Linked DNA regions of Drosophila melanogaster. Changing the gene in region 1 together with any one later gene gives a genetic interaction. Each region holds a gene or a part of one and is shown in the gene's direction. Other genes may lie near its edges.

What was found. Genes that interact genetically often act in the same process or in processes that back each other up.
Region 2: of Bx (region 1) and CG11893, changing one enhances a phenotype caused by changing the other (phenotypic enhancement), as found in Drosophila melanogaster (one study listed by BioGRID).

What each region holds. Positions count from the first base shown.
Region 1 is NC_004354.4:18,564,335-18,568,090, forward strand, and holds the start of Bx (beadex), read left to right. Parts: upstream 1-1,971; 5' UTR 1,972-2,077; coding exon 2,078-2,290; intron 2,291-2,361; coding exon 2,362-2,804; intron 2,805-3,176; coding exon 3,177-3,302; intron 3,303-3,756.
Region 2 is NT_033777.3:25,288,060-25,291,815, forward strand, and holds CG11893 (uncharacterized protein), read left to right. Parts: upstream 1-1,829; 5' UTR 1,830-1,867; coding exon 1,868-2,933; intron 2,934-2,996; coding exon 2,997-3,181; 3' UTR 3,182-3,307; downstream 3,308-3,756. Other genes in the region: CG13658 (uncharacterized protein), read left to right, coding at 39-567, 633-817; CG31098 (uncharacterized protein), read right to left, coding at 3,437-3,630, 3,689-3,756.

The sequences.
Region 1 (3,756 bases):
AATATGGACGCGCGCTTTTCCGAGCAGCGTTTAGCATTCGATTTCATTTGTCTAAACTAAATAACAATGCAGTCTGCGCTGCCACATTGGCGTTGCATGTTGCAGCTGCCAAAATTGAGTTTTGATGCGCTGCATACCCCATACCCCATACCCCATTTCCCATTTCCCGGCCTGCACTCCTACGGTCCACCAGTCCGGTCCTGTTATTGTTTGAAACGTCGCGTTAAATTTACATAAATTGATTTGATTGAATTTTTATGAGTCGGCGGCGCAGCAGTCCAGTGGCAGCCACCCAGGCATCCACTTGCACCAACCCATCTGGCATTCTGGATGCCCCCGTCGACTGGCCGGCGGGCATCAACTGCTGATGACTTTTCGACCCGCCCTCCGACGACTCACTGGCGATGGGAGGGGGCACGTGGGTATTGGGGATCGGAGGCGACCGTCTAATTAAAGTCATTTCCAGCAGCTGCATAACCCCTACACCCACAACGCCCACTCTCTGGGCCGTGGTCAAGTCGAGGTCACAGTTGGCGCTACATGGCGCAGGGCTTAATGCGAGCCATTTGGCCCGGTTGTCCGGCGATGGGCAACGGACAGGGGCAACGGACAAGGGACGACAACGGACACGGACGAGGGCAATCAGCGAAAAGAGAGGCGGCCAAAGGCAGAACCAGACACGGCACACATTGTGTGTACAACTTCTGCGGCGGGCAAAGAATGATGCACTGTGAAAAATAAAATGTGAAAGTACTTAAAGTTTCTACTGAAACTTTGAAGAGATTCGCTGACAGGCAGATTATTTTAAATTCCAAATAAGCTTCTTACTTTGTGCCAAGGACATTTAGGAACACAATTATCTCTTGTTTTTATATATAAATATTAAATATTATTTGTTGTTTCTTGAAAAAAAAAATGATGCAATGATTCCCCGCATTGTTCAGTGTAGTGAGTGCATTGCGGCATCGCTGGCATTGCATATTTTTAGGGTTTCCTCGCTGCTTGCTGAAATTTGCACATTGCAACAAACTATTTAGCGTTGGCAAGGGATGGGGGGCGCCAATTTGTCATAAATCTCGTTATTTTAAATCGCCGCTTGGCATTCCACGAAATTGTGTATGGGTAAATGGGCCTTTTGTTTGTATTGATTTGTTGTTGTTGGCTGCTCGCTTTGCTGGTTTCTGTTAACGTCAACGTTATCGGGCGACAACAGTTGAGGATAATACATACATACTATGTTGGGGGCTACGAGCACTATTTGAAGAGAGTCCAAAAATATGGGATATTATCGTAATTGGCCAAAAAAAAAAATTCCAAGTTCCTTAACATCGCTGGTTGAGTTTCTTAGCAAGGTGCTGAACGAAAGGAGAAAGTACGAAAAACGATCGCTAACTTTTTATTGGGTGATTAGCAGCGGGTCATTCAACGAGGCTCGTTGGTCTAGAGGTATGATTCTCGCTTCGGGTGCGAGAGGTCCCGGGTTCAATTCCCGGACGAGCCCAAGTGAAGAAGTAGTTTTTTTTTATTCAGCTGAAAATATGTCATGAAAATATGAATATTACACCATTTCATTGTGGAAATTGCATTTTCAAAGGGGTATTAATATTTTGCATAGTTTGCGAATTGTGTGCGAATCCAATGTGCACTTTAGTGGTCAGCCCAAAAGTATGCTGCATAATAGTGATCTTTTGTACACTGACGCCATCGCAGAGGCGCGCATTTCACAACACTGTGCCACAGCTGATAATTGCCGTTACATTTTGCCAGTGGCCGACACTTGAAGAAATTTACAATAAGGAAAATGCTATAAAAAATTTATTTGATATAACAAAAATACAATTACCAAACTATTTTTATGAGTCCAATGCATTGATTAGTGCATCTTATTTACAAAAGAGCTATTTTCTTTTGAGAACTTAGTAGCATACGATAGTTTACACGCCATAAAATGTTATTTTGTTTGTGTATTGCCAACACTGCCAACACTGCTAGAAGAAGACTCAGTAGCTTTCTGATCTTTCGCGGGTCATTTTTGTAAGAAAACTGTTGAAATCGAAGGAAACAGGAAAACATCGAAATGGAGTACCTCTACAACGCTAGTATGCATTGCGAAGATGAAGAACGCGTCAATTTCTACAACATGGACAAGTTCTTCGTGCCCCACGTGCAGTCGATTGAGCTGGAGCAGCAGGCGATCCTGCGGCAATACGTGCCCCAGTACGCTTATCAGTGGCCCTGGGGATTTGCCCCTTCCGCTTACAGTTATTACCAGGGATTCGGTAGCCTTAATGTACACACACACACAAAACTCCGGCGATGGAACCTTGAGTAATAACTATATCTTCTCCTGTCCCCTTGCAGATGATGACTATGGACATTACCAAAACCGAACCCGGTCTCGTCGGGCTTTCCTCCAACCAACAGCAGCAGCAGCAGCAGCAGTCGCAGCAAAGCAACGCCGGCATGAACAGCGGTGGCCAGAACAACGGGCCCAATCCCAATGGCAATGGGAACGTGGTCAATGTGGTCAACTCCGGCGGTGCCGGTGGCGGCAACAATGGCAACGGGAATGTCCAGAGCATCGCCGCCGCTGCCAACAATAATAACAATAACAACAACAACGGCAGCCAATTGTGCGCCGGCTGCGGCAAGCACATCCAGGACCGCTATCTCCTCCGCGCCCTGGACATGCTGTGGCACGAGGACTGCCTCAAGTGCGGCTGCTGCGACTGCCGCCTGGGCGAGGTGGGCTCCACGCTCTACACCAAGGGCAACCTGATGCTCTGCAAGCGGGACTACTTGAGGTTAGCTGCGATTTAAGAAATACTAAAACCATTTGATAGTGTAATATACCTAGAAGTATAATAGACGATGGTATTCATTAGTCATGTTAGAAGTTAAAAATGATACCAATTCTTGAGAACTCAGGTCTATAATGCTTATAGATAAAGTATTCATTATATTCTGTGACTTATTTTTAGTTTTATAAGACTTTAAGAAGCTTTCTTGCTAAGAGTAATTTATATTTAAACAGTACCTATTCTACCTAAAGCTTTTTTTTACGCATATTCAATTTAATAGCAAAGAGTAAAGATGTTTACTTAAAGAAGTCAGAACCATGTAAACCATATAAACTTCAAACTTTTTACTAATCTGTTCATAACTTTTCCCCGCAGATTGTTTGGCAACACGGGCTACTGCGCCGCCTGCAGCAAGGTGATCCCAGCCTTCGAGATGGTGATGCGTGCAAGGACCAATGTCTATCACTTGGAGTGCTTCGCTTGTCAGCAGTGTAACCACAGGTGAGCATCGAAAGGAATTTGGCCAAACTGGCCCATTGCCCCATTGTGGGGCAGACCATACATCATCCATTGTGTGGGAGAAGCGACTAAACGATTTCGCATGCATTTTTATGGGCAATTTGCACAGAGATTCGCATTGAAGGTGGCCACATGAATCCCTTTTTAATCTTTGGCCCATCGGAGCGGGCCCAAAGTGGCACTTGAAGTTTTATTAACGTGCCGCCAGACAGCAAATTGCCATCGTTTACAAGCTAACGGCTAAACAAACGGGGTGGGAAGAATGGCCCTTTAGTGTCATACGTTTTCTATGAAAACCGCATAAATTTCGCATTGAACAGAACGAACCGAACGAACCGAACCCTTTTGGGTGCCATCAAGTCAACGCCCAGCATTCCAAGGCCTCAAATATTTTATTGGACTTGGCCAATTCGTGAAATGTCACTCTGGAGAGCTT
Region 2 (3,756 bases), on another chromosome or scaffold:
TTGCAAAAGATAACAAAGTAAGAACTTTTCTTTTCAAGCGACCTGACTTTCTTAAGGAATTTAAGTATGGGTTATGGGGCATGCCCAACTTTCTGAACGATTCTATAGTGACAACTGGAGTACCCTGTTTCCTGGAAATGTTAGACAAGGTTCCGGAACTCACGAAATATAAGCCGTATTTCGAAAAAATAAAGGATAACTACATTCAGCAGATGAGTGCAGTCATGGAAGAATATCGCACTAATCCGAAGCCAAATAGGTACTACGTGCTGTGTCACGGGGATTTTCATGGGCGCAACATGATGTTTAGGTATAACAAGGAAACAGGGTCTTTCGAGGACGTAATGCTGGTGGATTTCCAGATCAGTAATGTTTGCCCCCTTTCCATTGACCTAATTTACTCCATCTTCATGGTAATGGATACGGAGGATCGTTGGGATCTTGGAAAGGAATATATCAATTATTATTTCTCTGTTCTGGCGGACACTCTGAAAAAAATAGGCTTCAAAGGTGAAATGCCAACTCAGACAGGAGTGTGGGAGCATATTCATGGCCATAAGGATTACGGTAAGGAACTAAAATTGAAAGACAGCTGTTGACTTGTATGCTTATTCCTTGTTACATCGTTATAGAATTCTTCATGATGACCAGCTTTCTACCCCTGGTGGCTGCCATGAATACGAAAACATTTAAAAGTATGGATTCATTTTTTGATCCGCAAACGAAACAAAAGTCTTTCTTTTTGGATGAATACATTACGGATGTCAAGATGCTATTGCGAAAATTCGAAGAACTGGGATATTTTAAAGATCTTTAATCCGATTGTATAAAATTAATTGAAATAAAAAAATAACTTCACATTTACCTACATAATTGCACTCGTTATTAACAAACATATACGTGTAAAGTTGCATGCATTCAAGGTAAAGTTCTTTCCCGCTATTGATTTCGAAATTCTAAAAGAAACATTTAAAACATACATTTATTATTTTATTGCTTATATATATTTACTGAAATCCGTTTCTTGCGTTTACCAAATATGTATATTATTATTATAAATAAAATCTTGGAATTTGTTTTATTAATATTGCTGACATCATCATGACTTCACATCATGACGGATAGGGCTGTTAAATTATAAACTTAAAGTTGGCAATGTGTCATTCAGTAATCAAAAAAGTCATTATCCTAATCATGTTCGGAACACGATGTTAAAGAATAGAACAAGGAAACAGAGGTCTTTGTGGCAGTAGTGATTTCAAGATCAGCTACACATATGCGCTCCAATACCATTGTCCCAATTTACTCCAACATCAAACTGAAAAAAGTGGGCTTCAGGGAGATATGTTCCCTTCCAGGAATCTAAAAGCATATCCATGGCCATAAGGATTACGGTCTTACGTCTTACATTCTGTCAAGATGCAGTTTCGAAAATATAGTTATAGTGAAACAACATAGTTATTTTGAAAATCTGTATCACGATTGTATAAAATCGGGCAAACTTGAATTTAATTCGTCTTCAAACATTTGATAATCCAGTAAGCTGGACTAACATTAAACATTTTTAGCGTTTTATACTTCTTACACCTGACCTAAATATTATTTCATAGAACAGAATAAATATCTGATTTATTTGTAAGTTTCTATTGATCACAGTATTTGTCCTGTAGAACAGATTTCAATGCATATTGATAAGATCATTGAGTAGACGTATTTCACACAAAATCGAAAAGTTTCGTGTTAAAAGGTTCAAGCCGCTTTCGAAAGCTCACTTAGCCAGCCTTTATAATAAGTGGGCACATAGGAAGGTTTAGTATACCCAGATCAAACATCATTCCGAATTGTTTGTTGAGAGCGCGAAATAAAAATGCCAGAAAACGCAGATACCGAGCAATTTAATGCCGATGAGCTGGAGGCTCCTGCATGGCTGAATGCCCAGTTTATTACTGACGTTCTTAGAACCTACGAAAAGTGTCCGGAACTGGAGGTTACCGATCTTAAAATCACTCCGGCGAGTGCCCAGGGAGATCACTACGCAAGCGTAATGTTCCGTACTACTGCTGAGTATACCACTTCGAAAGGAAAGTTCTGTAAGCCGCTAATCATTAAAACGATGCCAGAACAAGAAGGACACAAGAAGGATATGCTTAGCGACTCACATTTGTTCTCCACCGAGATTAATGCTTACACTAAGGCTCTGCCCGAATTCGAGAGAATTCTCCGGGAGGCAGGCGACGATACAAAGCTATTTGTGCCCTGTATCTACCACAGTCTAGAGCCTCGGCAGGTGTTAATATTCGAGGATTTGGTGCCGCAGGGATACTTCGTGATCCGAGATCGTCCAATAAACATGAACGAATACAAAAATGTTTTCTCCAAACTGGCCAAATGGCATGCTGTTAGCATGAAAGTCTTGAATGAGCAACCTGATATCTTGAAAGACTTCAAGTATGGGCTAATGGAAATGCCTTCTATTATGTCGGATCCAATGGTTACTACTGGAATGGACAACTTTTTGAAAATGATGGACCAGATTCCTGAACTTACAAAGTACAAGCCACACTTTGAGAAAATAAAAGAGAACTACATACAGCGTATGGGTGATGTAATGCAGGAATATCGCAAGAACGTTCAATCCGATGGATACTACGTGATGTGTCACGGAGATTTTCATGGCCGAAATATGATGTTCAATAAAAATGAGGAGGTCATGTTTGTAGATTTCCAAATCTGTAACCTGTGTCCCATTACAATCGATTTGAGTTATTCTGTGTACATGCTCATGGAGCCAGAGCAGCGATGGGATCTCGGAAAGGATCTTATTAACTTTTATTTTTCGGTTTTGGAGGACACGTTAAAAAAAGTTGGCTACAAGGGCAAGATGCCGACCAATGATGGTCTGTGGAAGCAAATACACCGACACAAGTTTTATGGTAAGTGCCTATTTTATTTATCGCCTAGTTTCAATAAGCCTAACCACTTCAATATTTTTACAGACTTCTTCCTTTTAACCACTTTTTCGCCAATGATTGTGGCCGTTAAAGCGAATACGTTTAAAATACACGAGTTAATTCAAGATCCGGAAATCAGACAAAAATCATACCTCTATGACCCTTATGTTCAAGATGTCAAAAAGCTTTTGGGTAAATATGAGGAAATGGGATACTTTAACGATCTTTGATCTATTTTTAAAGCTATCAGTTAAAATGTGTATATATTGCATGGCTAATTGATCGCAACTATATGAACCATGTAATTTTTTAGGGTTTCCTTTTGCTTTAAATTAAATAACAAAACGTATCATCAAATTAAATTTTTCTTTTTTTTTAATTTGGGTGTAAAATACTCATGGAATATTTGTCTGGAAAGCTTACTGTATGTGGAAGCCCGAATACTTTTGATCGAATGTAACGCAATCTTCATTAGCCCTTTGTCACTATTCATCCAAGAATCCAGATAGCTCGAATTCTTTAATAGTTCGCTGAAGGAAAGCCCGATACTTGGGGTTTTCAACATTTTCCCGGCGGAAACGATCACCGCTCTCAGTGCGTGAGTTCAGATCCTCAAGGTTTTCGAAACCAGCTCCCTCCCTGAAGATCAGTGGAGTCAGGCAAGTGGCGCCAATGACACCTATAATGGTGGAGTCATTATGAAAACCAATATAGATAAATGGTGATGATGATCATACCCATAAGACTGGTCTTGATCAACTCGATGTGGATTTCTTTAAGAGTTGGAATGTGTCCCTGGTAGTTT